4 linked regions of the Canis lupus familiaris genome follow. The main gene of each other region encodes a partner of the protein of the gene in region 4 in a complex. Links are inferred from orthologs where the notes say so. Each region holds a gene or a part of one and is shown on either strand. Other genes may lie near its edges. The genes, in order: MYBBP1A, RSF1, DEK and SMARCA5.

Region 1 (6,324 bases), on a different chromosome or scaffold from region 4:
ACAAAGTGTAAAAACGTGCAGAGTGTCTTTATGTTCTTTTCACATCAGGTTTCTAGAGTCTGTTGTGTGTTTTGTACCTAATGGCACATTTCCAGTCAGGTTAGCACGTTCCAAGAGCTCAGTGTTTGCCACATTGGACAATATAGTCCTAGAATAGCACCTAATATGTGGCAAATACATTAAATGTGTTGTTTTGGATGGAGAGGAACCCCCCAGGACTCCTCGCCCTGCTTGGGAAATGGAGGTGTGCTCGTATCTAGAACCCTTTGCTCTTGAGGAAGAGGCAAGGACTGGCATAGCCCTGGCCCCAGAGCTAGAAGGACCTGAATCCAAGTCCTAGCTCTCCATTTACCTCCTGTAAGAAATGAGCCACTCCTGAAAAAAAAAAAAAAACCGAGAGGAATAATTTTAAAAGTAGCTAGTTAGCACCAGCAGGTAGTTACTAGAATCCTGGGACTGGGGGGTGGGGGAGGTTGAGCTTTTCAGCCGGTACCATGTAACGATCCTGATGCCTGCCAGGGTGGATTGTGGCTATCCCACCCCAGACTGGCACTGTCGGGACCTCATGGGACCCTAGGCAGATGGAACAGCCCGTGGGGCTTACATGGCAGGAGAGGTGACACAGGGTGCTGGGGGAGCTGCTGCCACCACCCCCACTCCAACTTGTGTCCCCACCCCAGGTCCCGGAAGCCGTGTTGCAGGAGATCCTGCCAAAAGTCCTCAAGGCGGACTTAAATTCGGTGCTGGGCTCCCCTGAGCACCTGGAGCTCTTCCTCTTGGCCCAGCAGAAGGTGCCTGAGAAGCTGAAGGAGCTGATAGGACCCGTCAACCTGTTCTCAGATGAGAACATCCCCAGGTGTGAGGGATGTGGGAGGATGGGCTCCCCCAGGGACCCTGTTGTCTGGTTGGCCGGTGCCCCCTGAGTTCCCTCCATCCCTTCCGCAGACTGGTGAACGTCCTGAAGACGGCAGCTGCCTCTGTGAAGAAAGAACGCAAGCTGCCCACTGTGGCCCTGGACCTGCTCCGCCTGGCGCTTCAGGAGGGCAGGTTCCCATGGTTCTGGAAGGAAGTTGTGGAGCAGGGGCTGCTGAAGAAGCAGTTCTGGCCAGCCAGGTACGTGTGGCGCTTGTCCTCTGCACACCTCCTTTCCTGTTCGGTGGTGGGGTGGGCTCGGGGCCCCAGACACCACTTGGTGTGGCCCAGGCTCTGACCAGGCTCTGCTGCACACCCCTCAGCTACCTATGTTTCCGCCTGCTGGGCACTGCCCTGCCCCTGCTGTCCAAGGAGCAGCTGCCGCTGGTGATGCAGGGGGACCTGATCCGGCATTTTGGGGAGCACATGGTCACTGCTAAGGTGGGTATCCCCCCTCCCCCAGCAGCCCAGCACTGCCAGGAGGGGCAGGCCACCCCTTGGGTCAGCTTCTCGAGAACGTTGCTCTTTGCTGCAGCATCCTGGTCTTCCTACCTCGGTGGTCTTGCTGGGGAACTGGGTGTCCCTTCCACCTGGTGGTGGTTTGGCCAGGTCAGTCCTTCTGGTCTCAGGCCCCTCAGCTGAGGCACGTGTGGCCAGCGGCCCACCCAGACCTCCCCCGTCCCCAGCTGGTGTCAATGGGGAGAGTCATCTTGGTCCCTGACATACTGAGCACTGTGCATGGCCCCATGCTACACTGCGCACTGGATGGGGGAATCAGGTGCTGGTTAGGAGTTCAGAGTAGAGAGCCAGGCTGACTCCCCCGGCCTGGGCCTGCCGCCTCTGTTGCGACCGGTGTCTTTCTTAGGTGCTGTGAATGTGATAGGGTTAGAGCCCCTAGAGCGCTCATGGCTTCCCCGGTGCCCAGGAAGTACTCCTGGGGGGCTGTCCTCACCTCCCATCCCTATAGTGGGTTTCTGTTCTGTGCGGAGTGGGGCAGGGAGGCCAGATCGGCGGCTCCATGTCCCAGATGCACCACCTGGAACTCCATGACCCTGAAAAGTTAGTGGCCAGCTTTTTCTGTGCCACGCTTTCTTTATCTGTGAGATGCCACGAGGGGCCCAGTGTGAAGGGTTGTCATGAACGTGAAACCCGCCACCACCCAAAGCCTCGTGGCTGTGGTGCCCCCGTGGGCATTGCTGGGTGCTGAGCCCCATAGCACTATAGCCAGGTGCTTGAGATGTGGGGTTTGAACCTGGTCAGAGTATAGAATAGCCCGTCTGCACCCTGCTCCGCTGCTCCTCCGTCCTGGGCCTAGAAAGCAGCCTGTCAGGTACAGCAGGTGAGAGTGGGCGGAGGGCCACCTGGGGCAGGAGCAGGTGGATGGCGTCAGGGCCACAGCGTGGCTCAGCCTGGCTGCATACAGGGCTTGGGCTTCCCAGGCCTCAGTCTCATCTGTTGGGGAGAGGCTGGCGGGGCCGTGGGCCTCCTGGCTGGTGACCCCAATGTTGGGCCTGACTCCTCGCAGCTCCCAAACCAGTTCAAGTTTGCTCCGGAGATGAACGAGTACTTGAGTGCCTTCCTGGAAAGCTGCCGGGATGACCCCGAGCGGCAGCTGGCTGTGGTGGTGGCCTTCACGTGCGTCACCAACCAGGGCCTCCCTGTCCTGCCTACGTTCTGGAGGGTTGTGCGATCCCTGAGTGCCCCTGCTCTCAAGGGCTACGTGGCCTGGCTGCGGGACATGTTTCTCCGGCCTGACCTGGACTCCCTGGTGGACTTCAGCACCAGCGGCCAGAAGAAAGCTCAGGATGCCTCGCTGCACGTGTGAGTGGCCAAGTGGAGCCAGGAGAGCTCAGCCCTCCTTCCCGCGGGGCCTGGGCAGGGCAAGGGAAGGGCAGGGGAGCCCCTGAACTCAGGGTCTGGGTTTCCTCATGTGTTCCTGTGCTGTGGTTGGAGGAGCTAGTGTCAGTCTCCAGGGTGGGGGGCAGAGAACCTGAGTGGCTCCCGTAACCTGGCTCCCACCCACCAGGCCTGAGCGTGCTGTGCTGCGGCTGCGGAAGTGGGTCATCCTTCGCCTGGTCAGCATGGTGGACGCTTTGCATGCAGAGAAGGAGGAGGATGTGATTGAGGAGGTGGCCAGGTAGGGCAGGCTCTGCCCCCCGCACCCCACGGGGGACAAGAATGGGCCTTTTGTCTGGTCCTAGACCTGGTGTGGTCTCCCTGGAGCCTGAAGCCTGGGGGCTGGGTCAGCACTGGAGGGCCACTCGTACCCCTTGCAGGGGCCCCCAACACTGGCCTCCTGTCTCAGGGGGTCTCCTGCAGCCCTCACCATGGTCCCAGAAGAAGGCAGCCCTTGTGTGCAGAGCCTGTTTGTGCAGGCTGGAGATGAGACTTGGGAAACGTTCCTTGTGCTGCCACTGGCCCTGGGCGCTGGGTGGTACCCTCCTGGGAGGGGGCTGCGGCCATCCCTGGCTCTCCCACCCTCTCCAGGTTTTGTTTCTTCCACTCGTTCTTCGAAACAAAGAAGCCTACATCCCAGATTCCAGAGACCGAACAGCGGTTCTCCTTCCCTCTGGAGAGCCGGACCCGGGAGGTGGTCAGCAGTGCCTTCTTCAGGTGGGCTGCGGGCAGGCTGGGTGGGGGGCTTCTTGGCTTGGAGAGCACAGAGGCCTAGTGAGCTCCAGCAGGTCAGGGTGTGGGCGGCCCGGTCTGTGACCCCAGCCCCATCCTTGCCCAGCCTGCTGCAGACCCTCAGCACGCAGTTCAGGCAGGCGCCAGAGCCCACCCAGGACCGGCCACCCTGGACCCACCGCTTGGTACAATTCGCGGACTCGCTATTGAACCGCAGCCGCAATGTGACTCCCCTGACACCCTTCAGCTCACAGCAGCGCCAGGCTTGGGACCGGTAAGGGGCCGTGGTTGCCTTTGGGGAGGTGGGACACCTGAGGTCCAGTGGGGGATGGTGGCCTGAGAGCATGCCCATGTCACCCCAGGATGCTGCAGACGCTGAAGGAGCTGGACGCCTGCCCCCCAGAGGCCAAGGCCAAGGCCAGTGCTTTCCAGCACCTGCTCTTCCTGGTGGGCGTCTACTTGTTCAAGGTACGGTGGTGAGTGGGGTGGAGGCTGTGCAAGTCGTGTGGCCAGTTTCTGAGGCCAGTCGGCCCTGGTCGAATTGCAGCCCAGGGAAGAGTTGCTGCATCCACTTCCCGGCCCCCTCGGATGCTGAGCTTCCTACGCGGCGTGTCTCACCCCCATGATTTTGTGGCAGGTGCTGCTCCCATCGGCCTGGGGGCGGGGGTGCAGAACTCCAGGCAGAGTAACCACACAGTCGCTGCCTGGGATTCACGCTGGGGTCAGACTCCCTGCCCCACAAAGGCCCCCAGACTTGCCTTCCTAAGCGGAGGTGGCGGGTGTGCAGGAGAAAGTATGGCCTATGGGGAGGGGCCTGCTGTGGGCAGTCGTGGCACATGGGGTGCTTTCAGGGCACTTCTGTCTGCTGTCAGCCGAGGAGTGAGGGCCTGACATCCTGTCCTGGAACCTCACCCACCAGAAGCCAAGTGGCAGGTTGGGGTGAGCGGGTGTGCCTGGGGCTCTACGCCCCAAGGTCATGTCCTGTGTGCTGGTGCCAGCCTGTCCCATGGCAGCATCTCCAGATGTCTTCCCCCACTGGGCTCCTCTGCAGTGCCAGAGGCCACGCAGGCGATGCAGGTGCCCCAGTCCCCGGTGGAGGCTGTGGTCTGGGCTCACCCCAGCAAGGTGGCGCAAAACTGGATTTGAGTTCGTTCAAAGTAATGAGTGCTGGGGGTCCAAGCCCCTGACCCAGCTGGCCTTGTCGCCCCCAGGTGGTGGTGGGGACGTTGGGCTCCAGGCCCTGTGGCCCCATGTGGTACAAAAGCCGCGGCCCCCGGGGTCCTCTGCCCTGGGTGTGAGGGACCTGGGCCTTGTGCCTCCCCCCACTGCGCCCGCCTTACTGGCCCCTCCCCTGGCTCAGCAAGGCTGGGGGTGGGGCCGGCCTCTGACCTGGTCCTCACCCTCCCATAGTCCCCTGTGGAGAGCTGCGATCTTCTGGGTGACATCCAGACCTGCATCAAGAAAAGCCTAGGGGAGAAGACGCGCCGGACTCGCTCCAAGGCTGCCAGTGGGTCACAGCCCTGGGGTGGGGACAGGGCACATCCTGGGCTCCTGTGGACGTGGAATGGGGTGGTGGGGACCTGCCCAGGCTCAGCTGTCCCACCTGCAGACCCCCAGGAGCCGCCGTGGGTGGAGGTGCTGGTGGAGATCCTGCTGGCCCTCCTGGCCCAGCCCAGCCACCTGATGCGCCAGGTGGCCCGGACCGTGTTCAGCCACATCTGCTCACACCTGACGCCACGTGCTCTGCAGCTGATCTTGGATGTGAGTGGGGAGATGGGGCCTGGATGGGACTCTCCCAGCCCTGTGGCTGCCTCCTCACCGTGACCCGCAGAGCGGGTAGGGGCCTGAACCCAGACCACTTCTGTGCAGGTGGTCCCCCGGGGGCCACAGGGGTCTCAGTGTGGCCTCCTCTCCCAGGCTCTGTTTCCTCCTTGAGAGGAGCCTTTTGGCCCAGACTGGACAGGGCCCGGTCAGGGGAGGGGGAAGCGTCTGCGCTACAGACACGTTGGCCATTGGGGAACCTGCAGGTGCTGAACCCTGAGCAGAGCCCAGAGGAGGACAGCGTGGTGGTCACGGACGATTCTGAGAAGCAGCTGGAGAGCGAGGGGGTACGTGTTGGGCACAGTGGGGCAGGCGGATGTGTGGTGGGCGACAGGCGGTGCAATACAGTGGCTCCTGCAGGACAAGAGCTCGGAGAGTGAGGACGACAAACACTCAGCCAGCGAGGAGGACAGCGATGAGGAAGACAGTGATGAGGAGGACCGGGACGGGGATGTGGACCAGGGCTTCCGGGAGCAGCTCATGGCAGTGCTACAGGCGGGGAAGGCCCTGGTGAGCCACGGGCTGGGGTGGGAGGGCCTGCGTCCACACCAGCGGCCAGCCGCTCAGCGGGCCTCTTCCTCAGGGCACAGTGGACGGTGAGGATGACGATGACGACGAGCTGGGGGATGAGGCCATGATGGCCCTGGACCAGAGCCTTGCCAGCCTCTTCGCCGAGCAGAAGCTGCGCATCCAGGCCCGGAGGGATGAGAAGAACAAGCTGCGGAAGGAGAAGGTGCTCCGGCGAGACTTCCAGATCCGGGTGAGCCAGAGAGCTGCCAGCACCACCGTGTCCCACCTCCCATGCACACCCCACACCTGCTGACCTGCCTATGCTGGCCACAGGCTTTGGACCTGATCGAGGTGCTGGTGACCAAGCAGCCCGAGAACCCACTGGTCCTGGAGCTGCTGGAGCCCCTGCTGGACATCATCCGGCGTAGTATGCGCAGCAGCAGCTCCAAGCAG
Region 2 (6,324 bases), on a different chromosome or scaffold from region 4:
GCTGTATACTTGTACAAGATTTTGCTTAAAATAAAAGTCATAGAAAAAAGAATTCTGGCTTCTAAGACTAATGATTAAAATAGGGGAAGAAGATGCTCTCATACACGGTAATGAGAGAATATACTAATGGGGCCTTTTGGGGAGGCCAATGTGGCAATAGCTACCAAAAGTTAAAGTATACACATGCCCCTTGACCCAGCAATGCCAATTCTAGGAGTCTATTCTAAAGAAATACTCACTTATGTCCAAAAGGATCTTCAATGCAGCATTGCCTGTAATAGTGAAAAATTGGAAACAACCTAAATGTCAATCAATAAGGGAGTGGTTAAATAAGCTGAGGTACATCCACACTATGGAATACTATGTAGCCATCAATAACCAAAAGGTAGACTACATCTACTGACATAGAAAGAATTCAGACACACACTGATAAGTGAAAAATTCATAGAAAAATGAACACATTTATCTTTTAAGTGAACGGGTAAATATTTATGAACATAAATATGAATTGGAAAAAGATGTGGAAAAAGAACTGGAAAGACATGCATCCAAAACTGTTAATAGTGTTTACGTGACATTTTGATTTTTCAATCCCACAGCTTGAGTATTATCTGCATAGTTTACAAAGAGAACATATTCCCTGTAATAGAGAAAAAGTTTAAAAGATGACAAGATTATATAGTCTGAAATTTAATGTCTGGAATACTAGTGAGAAAAGATATCTCAGCTATAGGAAGAAAGATATATATATATATATACATATATATATATATATATATACACACACACACACACACACATATATATATTAAAGTTCTCTTTAGCCAAAACCAAGAGTCACACTTAGGCCCAATTATTTCTAATAAAAATTAAAGCTCAGAACAGGAGAAATTTTACCTTGCTTACTTTAGAATTCGTATCCTTCTCTGTTTTTTTCATATTTTCTTTTTTGTCTGCTTTCTGCAAAGCTGCTGACTCTTCTTCTACCTCATCTTCTCCTTCTCCTCTTTTTTTATCAGCTTTCTGATCTCTGATCTCAGCCACTTTTGCTGTGGGTCTTGATATTCTTGGAGATCTCCTTAAAGTACGACCCACATTTGTTTTCTCTTCTTCCTTTTCTGTCTTCTCTTGCTTGGTTTCTTGTTCTAGAATTTGGGGAGGACAATCTGGCTTTTTCTTTCGACTGGATATCCTAATTGTTAATTTGATGCCCTCTTTCTGCCTTTCAGAGGTTATCTCTGTGTTTTCTGAGGCAGTGGTTTCTTCCTCAGGAACCAGCTTATATTTAAATTTGCTTTTTTGCACAGAACTCTTTGCCTCAGAAGGATCTTCTGTGCCAGAGGTCTGGGCATTGTCCAGATTATCCGTTTCTACCTTTGTGGATTCAGAATCCTTTTTTAGAATTTCTGGGTCTGTTTTTTCCAGGGGCTGACCTTCTGTGGAACTTGTGTTCTGACATTCTACCACCTCTTTTTCTGAGGCTAACTTCTCACAGTGGTCTGTCATGTTAGACGGTGCTGAACCTTCAGCTGCCTCTGGAGAGACTGGCTTTCCTGATTCTGGAGTATACTTTGGAGCCTCCTCTGGTATTGGACTCAATCTTTCTGTGTCCTTCTCAAGAAAAGTCTTTTTGGACTTCTCTAACTTTTCAAGACATTCTAGGACTGGTGGGCGCTTATCCTTTTTACTTTTGGAAGACTTCTCGTCAACTTTCAGGGTACAAGATTCAGTGGCAGATAAAGAGGTTTTCAAAGAGAGATCTTTTGCCATCTCAGAAGACTCAAGAGAGATTTCCATTTCCAGAGGACCAGTTTCCTCTAACTGCCCTTTTTGACTCTGGGGCTCTAAGATTAATATTGAACTATCTGCATCTTTCCCTACAGGGACCACTTCCTTCTCAAGATCGCCTATTTTCATATTCGTTATGACAGAATTTAAGGACTCTGCTCCATTTCCCTCTACGATGACACTTCTATCTTTAGATGGGCTACAGCTATCTTCCTTTGTATCACAAATCCTTGTCTCCATTTGTTCTGTCTTAAAATTTGAAGTTACCTTTTCATCACTAACTTCTCCATTTACCAGTTGTTTCCCTTCATGACCCAAAATAGTAATCGTAGAGATCCTTTTACAAGTCTCTTCCTCTTGCTTTATTTCATCTTTCAAAAACTCTTTTGTTGGAGTAACTGATTTACACAAAGGTCCTTTGATTGGACTGTCAAAATCATCACTCAGTTTAATTTCTCGTTTTTTTAGGGGTATCTTGGCCTGCTGGTCATTTTTAAGTTTTTCGGTTTCTTCAGTAGACTTCTCAGTGATTTCTTGAGAAGATCTAACATTGCCACCAAATTCCAGCCTCTCTGGCTCTAGCTTCTCCATGCTACCTTTGATATCTTTAGGATCTGCTCTAAATTCCTTTACTTCGACTTTAGTGGGTTTGACATTTTCCTTGAAGGAATCACTTTCTTCTTTGATAATCCTTTTTTCCTCACTTTCTGGCAAAGGTTTTTCTAGCTTGACTATGACTGGCAGTTTGACAAGTTCCTTTTCATCTTCTTTTTCTATTTTCACAGTAGCCTCTTCCAGAGCACTGGGTGTAGAACAGTTTTCTGAATCTACTGGCTGCTCTTCACTTTTCATCTTCTCATTTTCCTTCTGTTCCTCTACAAATCAGGAAAAAATTTACATAAATCTAAGCATTTAAGATTATAAAATACAAAAGGCTAAATATAATTGATATTCTCAATTGAAATTTCCCTCTTAAAAAAGGTGGCTTGTCAATGGACATTTGATCAAAAAAGAAACAAAAACCAAAAAACCAAACACTCCAAATCTGACGGTGAAGGAAATTACCAAACCTGAAGCACAACTTCTAAATATCAAAAAATGGGTATTCAGAAAGATTCAGGTTTCTGCTTTATACTTTTAGCTTCAGTGTTCCTCAATGGAATGCAAATGTTTATACAGTTCAAATAATTTATTCAAGCTCAAGTGATGGCTCAAAAATGTGAACTAAAAATACTACATAAAACATTTCCAAAAGACCATATTTGTTTTAAAAACTGACAAATGTTCTTCCTTGCAAGTCACTGAGCACTTCATTTCATTGAGGTAGCACGAGCATGGGAAAATGTTTGTTTTATGCTTTATACAGATTACTAAAAGTAACACAATTCTGCACAGAAAATGAAACATATGCCCACAAAAAGAATAAAAGGTCCATAATCTTAATACCCAGAGGCAGCCACTATTATTATTTTAGGTTACTTCTAGTCCTGTATATTTTTAACAAAGTTGGGATCATGTTGCCCCATTTTTTTTTCATTGAAACATTACCACTATCTTATGATATTTAATGCCTTTTAAGAAATCAGATTTAATTATATAGCAGTCCTCAATGTGGTTGTATTAAAATTTACTTTATCAAATGCCATAGTAAAATTTCAGAAGTTAATATGTTACCAACTATATACATTTATCATCAATTCTTCTTTTTACCTTAATTGGCTATGTATTTCCAACTTTTATAGAGTACTTAATAGTGCAAAAACCAAATCTGGTAAATAGCATAATCTTTGTGATTTTTTTTGCATTAAAAAAATTATTTTAAGTAGGCTCCAGGCTCAGCCTGGAGCCCAATGTGGGGCTGAAACTCACAACCCTGAGATCAAGACCTGAGCTGAGATCAAGAAGAGTTGCATGTTTAACCAACTGAGCCACCCAGGTGCCCCAATAACATTACATTTGAATGGGATTACACAGATTGCACAAACAATATAAACCAGTGCTCAGAGAATCTAAGCAGAGCGTTTTCACAGAATTCATTAAGTACTAATTTTACCTGTATTTCCCATCACTTCACTATATCCCTACAATTGAAAAAAACAGCTCTAAATGGAATTTTACCAAAGTAGTAATTTTTACCAAAAAAATTGCACACATTAAACCAAATTGATAAACTAGAGTTATAATGTATTTCACAGGTATAAAATGGAATAAAAGAGAAGGGAGATGAATCAGGACATGTTTTTGAAAATAAGAACGCAACATCTTTAAAAGAGTAAATATTTTAATTACAAACAACTAGTTCTTTTACTTAATTCATGTTGCAAATATACCATTCAAGAACCACTAAGAACCACTCAGAACCTGAAACAGGAGGTCAGTATTGCTCTTCACTCTTTACATTGTCAATAATTTCATATATGCATGCCACTAAGGAAATTAAAGACATGACATTAATGATCTAATTTGTGTTTTCTCCTTCCCACTGAAAAAGTAGCCTTAGTAAATTCCTGATCATTGAGATCAGTTAGCACATCAGGAAATCTAATTAAATGAATATCTTAACAATTAAAACACTGATTACCAAAAAAAAAAAAAAAAAAACCCACTGATTACCATTTTAAAAAATAACTTCAACTTGTAAAAAGATCATTCAGTTATATATAAGCATTTTCCTGAAGTTTTCTTAAAAAGAAACTGTAAAAGAAATGCAAATGACTTGAAGAGATATAAAATCTGAAGAAACTTTTTTTTTTTTTTTTTTTTTTTAAGAAACAAAACTTAAGGTAAAACTTACTTCAAAACTCACATTGGAGCAGCAACACTGGTTGGCAAACTTGAGGTAATCCAAGAGAAGTATTATCTACCATAGGTTTTTATTTATTTTTATTTTTTTTTTAAAGATTTTGTTTATTTATTCATGAGAGACACACACACACAGAGGCAGAGACACAGGCAGACGGAGAAGCAGGCTCCATGCAGGGAGCCCAATGTGGGACTCGATCCCAGGTCTCCAGGATCAGGCCCTGGGCTGAAGGTGGCGCTAAACCGCTGAGCCACCCGGGCTGCCCTACCATAGTTTTTTTTTTTTTTTTTAATTTTTTCTAATTTATTTATTTATGATAGTCACAGAGAGAGAGAGAGAGAGAGAGGCAGAGACACAGGCAGAGGGAGAAGTAGGCTCCATGCACCGGGAGCCCGATGTGGGATTCGATCCCGGGTCTTCAGGATCTCGCCCTGGGCCAAAGGCAGGCACCACCCAGGGATCCCCTACCATAGGTTTTTAAAGTGGATTCACTCACCTACTCAACAAATATTTACTGATTACCTATTATGTGCTTTCCCAACCATCCCAACCACAATCTCTATGGAATAAAACACTGACTATCCTATAAAAGTTAACTGTAAAGGACATTGCTAGGTATCTACCCAGTATAAACATACCTTTTATTGGGCTTCACTTTATTGTACTTTCCAGATACTGCATTTTGTTCAAATTGGAAGTTTGTGGCAATCTTGCATCAAGCAAGTCTATTGGCACCATTTTTCTAAAAGCATTTGCTCACTTCATGTCTCGGTCACATTTTGGTAATTCTCACAATATTTCAAACTTTTTCATTATACTACGTTTGTTACAGTGATTTGTTATCAGTGATCATTTGATGTTACTATTATAATTGCTTTGGGGCTCCACAAACCACACCCATTTAAGACGGTCAACTTAAAATTGTGTGTGTTCTGACTACTCCACCAACTGACCAACCCCCCCATCTCTCCTTCTCCTTGGGCCTTCCTATTCCCTGAGACACATCAATACTGAAATTAGGCCAGCTAATATTTTACAATGGCCATTAAGTATTTGAGGGAAAGGAAAAGTCACACATCCCTCAATTTAAATCAAAAGTTAGAAATGATTAAGCTTACTGAGTAAGGCATGTCAAAAGCCCAGACAGGTCAACAACAATGCATCTTATACCAAATAGCTGGCCAAGTTGTGAATGCAAAGGAAAAGTCCTTGGAAGAAATTTTAAAAGTGCCACTCCAGGGATGCCTGGGTGGCTGAGCAGTTAACCGTCTGCCTTCTACCCAGGGCGTGATCCTGGAGTCCCAGGATCGAATCCTGCATTGGGCTCCCTGCAGGGAGGCTGCTTCTCCCTCTGCCTATGTCTCTGCCTCTCTCTCTGTGTCTCTCATGAATAAATAAAATCTTTTTTTTTTTTAAAGTGCCACTCCACTGATCACGATTAAAACAACAACAACAACAAAAACAGAAGCAAACAGCCTTTATTGCCAATATGCTGAAAGTTTTAATAGTCTAGACAGAAGATCAAACCAGCCACAATATTCCCTTAATGCAAAGGCTAATCCACAGCAAGGCCCTAACTTTTCTCAATTCCATAAAGGCTGAGAGAGGGTAAAGAAGGTACAGAAGAAAACCCTGGAGCTTGCAGAAGTTGATTTATCAGGTTTAAGAAGCCATAGAGACATAACATAAAAGTGCAAGCAAAACAGCAAGTGCTGAAGCAGAAGCTGTAGTTA
Region 3 (6,324 bases), on a different chromosome or scaffold from region 4:
GAGTGGTCTTCTCTTAAGTCAGACATGAAGAGACTCACAAAAATAAAAATACCATTCTCTTGATTTTTCTGGTGTATTTTTAATACCAAAAAACTCACTTTTTTTGTATGAAAAATAACTGTTATTTAAAAAATTGTTTCAGTTTTAATTTACACTACAGTAAATATCAGATTATCCCATATAAAAGCTTCTGGAGTCCTCATTAATTTTTATGAGGGTATCAGGTCCTAAAACCAACAGTTTAAAAAGTCATTGAGGAGACGCCTGCCTGGGTGGCTCAGTGATTAAGCATCTACCTTTGGCTCAGGGCATGATCCTGGATTCCCGAGATCAAGTCCCACATTAGGCACCCTGCATGGAGCTTGCTTCTCCCTCTGCCTATATCTCTGCCTCTCTCTGTGTCTCTCATGAATAAATAAAATCTTAAAAAAAAAATCAATGAGGAAAAGAATATAAACATATCCCTCATAACTTAATAATGTCTTCTGGAGAAATGGTATTGTTTGTCACCTGAAATTCTAAAGTAGAGGTAAAAGTTTAGGAAAACAGATAATCTCTCATCTTTAAGCCAATTCAAAACACACAAAGATTCACCATGGCCCTTGGGTTTTTAGCTGCCTGAGAACTGACAAAAATACCCTTTATCAGTCTTTGTCCAGTTAATGGTAAATTAGACTACCAGCAGATAAAACCAAAGTCCCAAGGGTACCTGGGTGACTAGTCGGTTAAGCATCTGCCTTCAGCTCAGGTCATGATCGCAGGGTCCTGGGATCAAGCCCCATGTTAGGTTCCCTGCTCAGCGGAGAGTCTGCTTCTCTCTCCCTCTGCTTCCCCATCCCTAACTGTGTTCTCTCTCAGATAAATAAAATCTTAAAAACACCCCTAAGTCTCAGAGCTATTTTCTGATTCTAATCCTTAAGGCCCCTTCCACTCACTGATAGTATTCCCCTGAACTCCTAAGTCCTCTAGATCTCTTCATAGTTTCTTTGCCATGAAAATGAGGAAGAATATGAAAATATTTACTGACAGACTTCAAACAGAAAATGTAGGCTCCTGTAAGTATTACTTCAACAGACATTTTTAAGTCAGTGATGTCATTTGTTAAACAATTTGGGCAAACCTAATCTAAATTTCAGAAGAATGGGGGAAAGTATAAGGCCATTTTACTTCCATGTCCAACTCCTGGGCTCTGCTGATTCTGGAAACCCAATCCAAGAAACTTTTAACATTCCATTTTGTTTTTTATGTTGTATTTTCATAACATTATTCCAGTGTCTAGAAAACATCCAGTTCTAATGCACCCCATCTTAATCTTACCTGGACAATCCAACACCTCACCCTCAACTCAATCTGTTTCTGTTCTTCCAATGCCTTCTATATATATAAATAAGCCTGGATGCTTAGTTTGTATTTGTCCATTTAAGACTAATCCAGTTAACAATTACTTTTCTTAATCTTACACCATTTATATCTGATATAGGATACATCTGCATGGATTCTATGTACTTCTATCATGAAAATGTTGCAGATATATCAACAAGGGCATATCCTTTAAATGTAGAAGACAATACTGAATATTGACAATGCTGCTAACAAACTAAATCATTCCATTAAAAGAAAGTAAAGAAAGGCTACAAATAATTGATTTGTTACTGGAAAAAAAAAAAAAAAAAACAAAAAAAACTGGTCCTCACTTTGCCAGAAGGCTTTGGATGCATTAAGAAATTCAAGATCCTCTTCACCAGTTCACTATTTACACCCGATCTCTCCAAATCAAGAACCTCACAGATGCTCTTTAACATGGCATTTCTAAATCTAAAACAGAAAATGAAAGAAACAAAGTTTATTTATTATGTAGCATATATTACCCACAACATAAACGTAACAGCTAACCAAACTGGCTTGGGTAATAAGCATTAAAAAAAAAAAAAAAAAAAACACAAAACAAAAAAAACCAATGTTTCTCCAAATCTAAAAAGTTCTTCCCTATTATCTTGACTAATGTACAAAATACAACCAAATATAATAAATTGAAAACACCATTTACCAATTAAGTTTTAAAAGTAGTAGAAGAATTAACTAGGTCAGACCACCTAGGTGGCTCAGTCGGTTAAGCATTGGACTCTTGAGCTCAGCCCAGGTCTCAGTCCCAGGGTCATGAGTTCAAGCCCCATGACGTGTCGAGGCTACTTAAAAGAAAAAAAGTCAATTCAACTAGGAAATACTGTAAAAAGTTTTCAGTACTCTAAAATTCATGGATTTGACAATTCTTCTGGTGATTAAATACTACATTTTCCCCTCAGCACTCCTACTATGACATTTTGATGAACAAGTAGGTAATCATCTTCATTATTTGTAACTCTTAAGTTTTAGATGATTTAACAAATAAAAGCTCTTAATTTATCATCTGGCTTGCATTATGATGAAGAACACTGCTCCTATCAAGTTGATTATCTTCACAACAGTTTAAATGGTCCCTGTAAGTTGGGGGAACAGAGTGGCTGGCAGAGGACAAGAGTGGGAGAGTTTTTTCAGTATATTTCCCTTAGGCCTAAATTTTGGACCATGTGAACAATTTGTGTATACAGTTCTCCTAAGAAATAGAAACATCTTTAGATGTGAGTTTTCAATACTCTTAACAGTCACTAGTGGAAAGTAATGAACATCACAAGTTGATAGCTATGAAGGAAAGTCAGATCTTGGTATTTAAAGCAAAGCATTAGCAGTCTGCTAAAAAATGTTTCAATGGTCCTATTTAAATGTTAAGAAATAAAACACACTGATCAAAACACAATACTTTAAAAATAACTTACTTTTTCAACATTTCTTCCTTCTTTTTATACTGGGCACTTCCTTTTTCAAATGGAAAGCCACTGAACTGACCCACATTCTTCTTTAATGAGGACACCTGAAAACGTTTCCCTTATTATTAATGCTATTACCCGGTAATGTATGTAAGAAAATTCAAAGCCAACATCTTTATTTTCATAGCTGTCTCCCACCTACAACACTGGTTTATTCAACATTTCTTATTCACAACTGAAAATGGTATTTGTTATTAAAATAGTAACATAATAAATGCTTTAAGTTCAATCCTTAAAGATAACAATTTCAATCTGAATGAATTTCCATCTGGGAATTTTTACTGGCAATTATAAAACCACAACTAAGTGTTATCTGACAATACCAGAAGATGTGGAAAGTTACTTCTTAAAAAACTCCCGTTTCTTAATACAAGTTACTAGTAATATTTCTCAAATCAGAGAGTCATGTATTTTATTCTTTGAAAAGAACGGAGGACCTCCAAAAGTTAATACCACTTAGCAGTCATAAGACTTGTGTAAATCAAGGCAGCCTGGGTGGCTCAGCGATTTAGCACCACCTTCAGCCCAGGGCCTGATCCTAGAGACCCCCACGTCAGGCTCCCTATAGGGAGCCTGCTTCTCCCTCTGCCTGTGTCTCTGCCTCCCTCTCTCTGTCTGTGTCTCTATGAATAAAATAAATAAAATCTTAAAAAAAAAAAAAAAAGACTTGTGTAAATCAGATTGCAGTGACGATCACATGAAATAACACCATGCTTCAGACATTCAATTCTAACATCAAACTTCACTTTGCCCACGTACAATCCAAAGTTTACTCAATTATACGAAATACTGAAGTTGTGTGTACAGTGTAATTCAATTAATGCAATACTGATTTGTTCTAACAAGTTCCCTGACAAAGAATTACCACCTAATTTATCAGATATTTGCTCAAAATGAGATAAATTATACTGTATCATTTATTCTGAATAAGTAAAAACATCCAAAAAATAAATTTCTTCTAATGCATTTAAAGATCCCTAAAAATCACATTTCGGATTTCACATTTTGAAATTTCAGTTTGGCATAAAAACAACTATAGTACAAGCCTAAATGTTATAATCCTAACTGCTGATATTTAATTATGTATTCTACATATGATAAGTCATTTTATATGTCTCAGTTTGTTCACTTGTATGGTACAGAAATTGAACCACTGGATTGCTTAAGTCCCTTCCTGAACTAAAATCATGCTTTAATTGTAAAGTATTTCAATACATAAATATGTTACTAGGTTAAAGATATAAAAAAGGTCTTAACTGTGCCTGGTCTGTTGTAAAGCAGTTTATGTAGATTTCTAAGTTCATCTGTTTTCTTTTTACTCAGGAAGAAATGTATCCTCTCAATTTCACAAAGTTTCTGCCCCTTTCCTAGGGAAAACAAAACAAAACAAAACACCATAATAACTAAAGTTAAATGCCCAGCATGTGTTAATACATACAAAGTTATTTTAATCACGATTATTTAACAGCCAAATTTACATATAGCTTTTGCTGAATAGGGCAAACTAAATAAAATTATACCCATAATATATAATGACTTCGTAAACACTAAAAACTGAACACTGACCATTTTATTATATATTTAGTCATTTTTACCATAAAATGAAAAGAACAGAATAAACTTACCTTGTGCAATTGTAAATGGCTCTCTCTGTAAGGAAGAGACTTGCATGGTCAATCTCTCTACTTTTTTCTTTTCCCTCTTGCCTTCCACGATGAGACTCTTTTCTAGAAATTAATTGAATATTTCTTAAAACAGCTAAAAGCTTAAAAAAAGTATTAACTCTACTGGATAAACATGTAGAAAAAAACTGCAGAACTCTTTAATACCTTACTCTTTTTTTTTTTTTTTGAGTAGCAAAAAAGTACCTTACTCTTTAATTTTAAGAAGCAAATGATGAAAGAGAAATGAAAATACATAATAAGTTAACATCACTTAAGTTTTTTTTTAGAGTAGCATTTTACTTACCTGGCAACCTCACAAGGGATCCAGTTTTTTAAAAAATCATAAAGGAAATGAACTTTTACTGAACTACAATTATTGCTAATGAAAGTGCCAGTCACTTTATGAAAAATCACCAATGCCCCTCACTAAGCCTGCTCTTTAATTAGACCTAATTCTGTTGATTGAGATTTAGTTTATGGTACATCAAACAGCAAGTTTAAGACTGAGATTATAACAACTTCAAAAACATAGAAAAGCAGTAATTCAGTAAGCAGATGAAAGAAAAACGAAGACTTTAGCTAAAGCAGAGCAGCCTGAGGTTGCTATAAATAGGGTAAAATTCTCCAAGTTTACATTTACTGCAAGTGACTAGGAGGACATTACTTTTAGTTTGGTAAATGTTTATAACAATGGTCATAAATCATTCTAAAAAAGTTAAATTGTTTATAGTACAGACTGCTTTTATTAAAAAAAAAAAGGCTAGAAGATAAACAGCATTTACTTAAAAACTTAAAACACTGAGCTTAAATTTCCAAAACAATTTACCTACTGAGATAAATTCAGATAAAAGAGGACACTATCACTGAAGGTCCTTTCATTCATTCAACTGAATGCCAGTTTTGTACAAAGCTTCACTAGACACTAAGGGGGGATTGAACAGATGGTCAAGACACTGAGTAACTCTTGAAAGAGATCATGTCTACCGGTGGTGATGAGACACAACAAACACACTCCAAGCAGATGATAAAACACCTTAGGCAATCTACAAATAAAACAACTCTGAATTGAAGAGAGTCATTATTTTTGGATTAAGGAAAAAGGATCAAAACACTGGAGCTGCCTTTGAAGGATAGGTAAGATCTGGAGATGGGAGGATTTGCACAGAAGGAATTAGGAAGGATAAAGGGATTCTAGCAGCAATGGCAATGGTGTGCAGAGTGAAGAAAATGCACTCTAAAGCAATCCCTGTGATCCTGCTACTTCCTTTCCCTGAGTGATTTAAACCTTTCGCTCACCTGTTTACCACGTACAAGCTAATGACTTTCCTGATTCTCTCCACTCAAGAGCTTCAAATCAGCTAGGAGGGTCGATAAATGGACAGCTCCACTTCATGTCCTGTAGGCACCTAACTCTGCATTCAAAACAGAGGTCGTACTCCTCTCCAACCTTGCTCACCTTTGACAATTCTAGTTTTCAGAAAACTGTAGTAATGTCAACTCAGTTGCCGAAGATAGACACCGAAGAATCATCTTTTACCAGCTCCTCACCCACCGCAGTCAAGACAATCCCACCTTCACTAGGAACAGACTACACTGCCTTGTTTCTGTGATGCCTAGACAGCAGACTTGAATGTTCAGGGCTAACGTAGGATAAAAACCTTTACAATTTTAGTTGTTCCATGAACACCTCAAATGAGGGAATGAACAGTAATCAATTAGAACAACTAGAGAATTGCTTGAGGGTAATTTTTTTTTTGGGGGGGGGGGGATATCACAATTCAAACAATCATCAGTTC
Region 4 (5,539 bases):
CCTCCATGAATTGCTCTTTTTATTACGCATTTTACCACTTCGGAGGTTTTAACTTCCATCTTGTGTTCTTTAGGGTGATAGTACCAAAAATATTCTATGGTCCTTATTTGGGATATATTAGGATAAGCAGAGTTTAAACATCTTTATATAGTGAGATTTCTCTAAGTTTATTTAAAGTATGTTGTTACTCTTCAAGATGGGGGACTGTGCACAGTCTTTTCATATTTGACCACTGAAGGATTATTTTTCACTAAACATTAACAGTGGCTACTCTCTTGTGTATTCTTGTTTGGGAAATGTTGCACTATAAAGACATTATAAATAAAATTTGAGGAAAGACCAATTCCTATAGCTTTATCTTTTTTTTTTTTAATATTTTATTTGTTTATTCATGAGAGACGGGGGGTTGGGGGGAGAGAAGCAGAGACAGAGGCTGAAGGAGAAGCAGGCTTCTCTGCAAGGAGGCGGATGAGGGAATCAATCCTGGATCCTGGGATCATGCCCTGAGCCAAAGGCAGATGCTCAACTGCTGAGCCATCCAGGTGTCCCCCTATAGTTCTGTCTTTTGTCTTTAAGTGGGAACAATTCATACAGTTAATAAGAAACAAAATGCACTATCATGTTGATTTACCAGTACAGTACAAACCAGTACCCAAAGCTGTTATTTCCAAACATGTTTCATTTTAGAGCACACATAAAATATGAGATTATATATGTGCATGGCCCCTTCTGATGAACACTTAAGGCATAATCCTTGCCTGAGATCACATCTGTAACATTGTGGCATGTATGCCTCAGTACATTTGTTAGGTATAGAATTTTGATGTAGTGTATTACCTTTTATCTATATTATGTTGCAAATATTTCCAAACGTTGTATGGTGTATTCTGTAACCGTATTTTAAAATGATTTTGTTGTAGTTTGCATAGGTCATTTTTTTTTTTTTTTAACAAGAAAACCATTTTGCTTACTAAGTCAGCAATGATGCAAATGTACTTCTCTTTTCTTCAGGGTCATATGCTAATGCAGCACTACACTTTATACAGCCTCCACAAAGGATTTCAGTTGACTAGAGAGAGATGATGTAGATATCATCATAAACTTTTACATGGCTATTTTTCCAAAATTGGAAAAATTCTAGTTAAGGGAAAGATGACACTTTACACTTCTTAGTAAAGCTCTGGTTCCTTTAGTTTTGGATCTATAGGATAGTTCTCAGGTATAGGTACTAAGTAGCAATGTGGCATATATTATGTTAATTTTCACTGGTTGAATTTCTTTGGGAAAGAAGGATTTATGAAGATGAAAACAGTGTGATTTTAAAGAATGTAAAAACATCGATATCTTGATTTTCATAGAATGGATTGTAATCAGTTCTTTTGGCTGTTCTAGATTTTATCTTTGGGGAATGTATGAGTAATTCTATATTATACAATTAAAACGTTATCATTTTAAAACCTTGGTATCCTGAAAACTTGTAGATGGATATACATGTTTACCATATAAATTTATATTTACAATTCAGGAGCTCCAGAGGAGGTGTAATACCTTAATTACCTTGATTGAAAGAGAAAACATGGAACTAGAAGAAAAGGAGAAGGCAGAGAAAAAGAAGAGAGGACCAAAACCTTCAGTAAGTATTCATGAAGATATATTTTCTTTGTAAGAATTTGAACATTATGTAGCTATCAGTAATGTGTTTGTCTTTATGTTATGAATTGTTCTTAAAAGTATAAATTTGATTGCGTTGTGTAGGGAATACATTACGATGGTATTCCGTAATTTGGAGATTCTTGAAAATCTGGGGAAGATATGTCTTATGAATGCCATGAGCCTACAGTTGACCTTGAGAGTACAAGGTGTAATTTTAGAATATGTAAAGAAATATTAGGAAAGCAATGGTTTTACAACCTTTACTGCAAACTTTTAAGGTTTGGTTTATGTCCCAGTGATATTCTTAGCAATGTTAACACAGATATTTTAAGAGAATTAAAAAAAGGTCATCTTTTTATTTAGTAATAATTTAGAAAGTCATGAATAAATGAATGCCTGAGTAATGTCTGGTATTTATGTAAAACCTCATTAAAATAATTTAGTACTGCTTTCTTTTGGTATCAAGGCATGTTATTGTTTGGTGTATTGGTTTACTGTTGTGTATTGCAAATTATTTAATTGGCATTAAAATTTTTGTGTTCATTAAGTGAGTAGACAAGATTTTGGAGAATTAAGATTATTCTGGGTAAGAAAGTCTAATACTTATTACTATGTAGCAGTTGTTAAAGTAAAAAAGAGTCCACGTATTTTATCTTTAATATTAGTCTTGTGATTAAAAGGAATCTTTCTGTTCATTTGTAGACACAGAAACGTAAAATGGATGGAGCACCTGATGGTCGAGGAAGAAAAAAGAAGCTGAAACTATGAATACATATTTGTTTCATAATCACTAACTTTAAACCAGTAGTTCTTTAATTTACGGGTCTTCATAAGATGTACTGTACAATACTCAATTGTTATGTCATTCAAAGACATCAGGTTCATCTGTTTACTAAGCTAGAAACATAGTATGTAGTTTCACTTTTTTAAATGCAACAGCTGTGCTGAAATTTTTTTTATCATTAACACTTGAAGTAATAAAACAGGCTTCATTTATTAATAAATGTTTCATTTGATTTATTTTTCTATTATAGTTCCATTTGTGAAGATTGTGATTTTTTGTTTTATCAGCTATAATTTCTACACCCAGAGCTTAAAAAACAAGCAAACAACTAAAAAAAATTGCACAAATAATATTTGTCCTTTGGTCTTCACTTAGTTGTGTAATTGTTTTAATTCACTTTGCCTTTGCAGAAATTTGGGTATCTTTGTAGTGCTATATAGAGTCTCATCTGGGAAGATTATGTAAATTGCATTCTCCTTGATTATTATATGGGTAGAATGAAACAAAAGGCAAGACAAATTATCATTAAATTCTATGCATATATCTGTTACGCTTTCTGTTTCTGTAGTTGGTTCTGAGGTGTGAATATGCCCTATTCTGTTGGAAGACTGGCTGTTTAGTTGTATAGCCAAAGACATTTAGTATTTTCTGGTTCCGTAAAGTGTTATTGTACCATTTTGTAAAAGGAATATTAATTTTAATTGTTTGGTAAATGTTTTGACAAATTACCTTCTTGAAGCAGCCACAACTTAGAAAGATAATGTCAAAACTAAGGTGATTTTTTTTTTAAAGACCAGTCAAAATAAGGTATGGATTTGTCATACTGTTAAATTGAAATTGGTAACAGAATGTATGTCCCCTTCCAGTTTGCCTTTTTTGAGTTTTTAGAGTAATTGAAAATTTTATATTTTAAAATAATTTTTAAGTGTGAATGGCAAGATTGAGTATAATAACCGGTTTTTATTTTCTATGGACAGACTTGATAAACTGGAGACCCTAAAGCCGGATTACCCAAATTGTAGTGTCAGGTTTTTAGCTGTACCAGAGGCCTTTATGTGCTACACATAATTTGTATAAAGTTTTATATGTGCAAATTGGGTACATAAACAGTTCTCCATTTTTCTAAGGGAATGCAATAAATGTAGCATCGTGAATAAATATAACTTTTATAATCCTTAAGTGGTCTTTTCTTTCCATTTTTTTTCTCATTTGATTTTTTATTTTTTTCCTTAGAACATTATCTCATTCCCTTAGATTTCTTCTAAAATTTCTATTACTTGTCAATTGTCTGCCCACACATAATTGAGACTTTATTTATAATGCTGATTTCTAAAGTATTACTAATACTGCTTACTTTTCCAAACTGTGGAATCGTGGCTGTGTTAAGCAAAATCCAGTGTTTATGGCAAGTTGTAATTTGAGCTTCCTTTTCTGCTTCCCCTAAATGACATCATTTTAACCTTGGATTCTGGAAATAATTGAGTCCAGTGTATGCAAAATTTGAGGAATAGGGAGTACTCTTAAGGGTGGTAGCCTAATTTTAGAAGAAACACTTGGAAAAACAAGGCTGAAGAAAACTGGAAGTCACCAAAGCAATGTTTTCAAGAGGTGGGGAAAGTAAAAAAAGCCATAGAGTGGAAATGTGTTAAAGAAATCAAGCTTAGGGATCCTTGGGTGGCGCAGCGGTTTGGCGCCTGCCTTTGGCCCAGGGCGCGATCCTGGAGATCCGGGATCAAATCCCACGTCAGGCTCCCGGTGCATGGAGCCTGCTTCTCCCTCTGCCTGTGTCTCTGCCTCTCTCTCTCTCACTGTGTGCCTATCATGAATAAATAAAAATTAAAAAAAAAAAAAAAAAAAAAAGAAATCAAGCTTAGCCCTTGAAAGCTCAGGGACTCGAAAGGGAAAGGGAAACAGTTAAAAAAGCAGGAAAGAAAAACAATATCCAAATTTTGCATTGTAATTAGCCAATGTATTTCTTTTCCACATGTCAATTAGGATATTATTGCATATTTAAGAAAAAAGCCATGATTCTAATGATACTGCTAGTTAAGGAAAAATTAGCCAAAAGTAACTTTTTTTTTCAAAAGTAGCTTTTTAAAAGAGGAAAAATGGTAGAGAAGATAGGCTCAAAATTGGAAACCGATTTCGTTGATACCTCCTCCTCAACTGAAAATAGAGGATATCCATCAATATGTAGCATGCTATTTGAAGCCAACCTAGAAGAGACTAGGTTTACATGGGTGGCCAGGGTCACAATAATCCATTACCCAGAATATTTCATTTAAATTTAGTAAGGTACTATATTAGTTGTTGGAAAGGTTATAATTTATTGGGAAGATATCCAGGTAAAACTAGTAAAATAATCATTACTTTCAACTTCAGTATTTTAAATAGTAAGTAGAACCTTAGGGAAAAGAGATAATGGAAGCTTTCCCAATGGCACACCTTTTAAAAATCCAGTACATTTCAAATTTATATAGTAGACTTAGAGTGTGGTTATTTTTATAGCACTACTTGCATATGCTCATGATGGTGTTAGTTTTACTTAGGAAATCTGAACTAAACAGCCCTAATTGGGAATTTATGAACCTCTAAATGTCTTCACAGGATAGAGTTTAGTGTGATGGATATATGAGAAATAGCAATATTTTGATAAGTTTTTGGGTATCTAACATTTAACCAATTAACCTACCAATTTGGTGATTTCAAGTTTTTCCCCAAATAGAATTACACTCTTTAAATATTACAAAGGTAAAAATACACCATTTTTTAAGAAAAATGCTTTTATGCCCTTAGAGTAATAGTTCAGTTGTAATAACATTTTAAGGAATATTTATAAATTGCATTTCTGAGGAATTGTCAGCCTTCGACACCTTTGTTAGTGTTTTTGTGGGGCAATTCAGTGAGCAGTCTCAAGCTGAGACAGTTTGAAGAGGTTGAATCAAGTACAAAATGGTGGACTTGCTTTAGGCATAAATGTAGTCTATGACCTGATTCCTGGGACCATTTTCCAGGAAGAAGCAGCTCTTTATAAAAATAGTGTAACCCATTTTAGTATAAAGGCATACCTCAGATAATGAGGGTTCAGTTCCAGACCACTGC

Evidence for each region.
Region 1: SMARCA5 (region 4) and MYBBP1A share a complex: the UniProt entries of both Homo sapiens proteins name them as parts of the B-WICH complex. The link is inferred for Canis lupus familiaris from reciprocal best matches to the Homo sapiens genes SMARCA5 and MYBBP1A.
Region 2: SMARCA5 (region 4) and RSF1 share a complex: the UniProt entries of both Homo sapiens proteins name them as parts of the RSF-5 ISWI chromatin-remodeling complex. The link is inferred for Canis lupus familiaris from reciprocal best matches to the Homo sapiens genes SMARCA5 and RSF1.
Region 3: SMARCA5 (region 4) and DEK share a complex: the UniProt entries of both Homo sapiens proteins name them as parts of the B-WICH complex. The link is inferred for Canis lupus familiaris from reciprocal best matches to the Homo sapiens genes SMARCA5 and DEK.

What each region holds. Positions count from the first base shown.
Region 1 is NC_049226.1:30,730,305-30,736,628, reverse strand, and holds part of MYBBP1A (myb-binding protein 1A), read left to right. Parts: intron 1-680; coding exon 681-856; intron 857-945; coding exon 946-1,113; intron 1,114-1,235; coding exon 1,236-1,353; intron 1,354-2,437; coding exon 2,438-2,733; intron 2,734-2,938; coding exon 2,939-3,049; intron 3,050-3,399; coding exon 3,400-3,525; intron 3,526-3,646; coding exon 3,647-3,814; intron 3,815-3,902; coding exon 3,903-4,008; intron 4,009-4,950; coding exon 4,951-5,047; intron 5,048-5,149; coding exon 5,150-5,301; intron 5,302-5,567; coding exon 5,568-5,648; intron 5,649-5,721; coding exon 5,722-5,871; intron 5,872-5,944; coding exon 5,945-6,121; intron 6,122-6,204; coding exon 6,205-6,324. UniProt on the Homo sapiens protein: May activate or repress transcription via interactions with sequence specific DNA-binding proteins. Repression may be mediated at least in part by histone deacetylase activity (HDAC activity).
Region 2 is NC_049242.1:21,200,055-21,206,378, reverse strand, and holds part of RSF1 (remodeling and spacing factor 1), read right to left. Parts: intron 2,664-6,324; coding exon 898-2,663; intron 1-897. UniProt on the Homo sapiens protein: Regulatory subunit of the ATP-dependent RSF-1 and RSF-5 ISWI chromatin-remodeling complexes, which form ordered nucleosome arrays on chromatin and facilitate access to DNA during DNA-templated processes such as DNA replication, transcription, and repair.
Region 3 is NC_049256.1:18,345,320-18,351,643, forward strand, and holds part of DEK (protein DEK), read right to left. Parts: intron 4,592-6,324; coding exon 4,490-4,591; intron 4,232-4,489; coding exon 4,122-4,231; intron 2,909-4,121; coding exon 2,814-2,908; intron 1,816-2,813; coding exon 1,695-1,815; intron 1-1,694. UniProt on the Homo sapiens protein: Involved in chromatin organization.
Region 4 is NC_049236.1:43,059,911-43,065,449, forward strand, and holds the end of SMARCA5 (SWI/SNF-related matrix-associated actin-dependent regulator of chromatin subfamily A member 5), read left to right. Parts: intron 1-1,525; coding exon 1,526-1,633; intron 1,634-2,355; coding exon 2,356-2,421; 3' UTR 2,422-3,611; downstream 3,612-5,539. UniProt on the Homo sapiens protein: ATPase that possesses intrinsic ATP-dependent nucleosome-remodeling activity.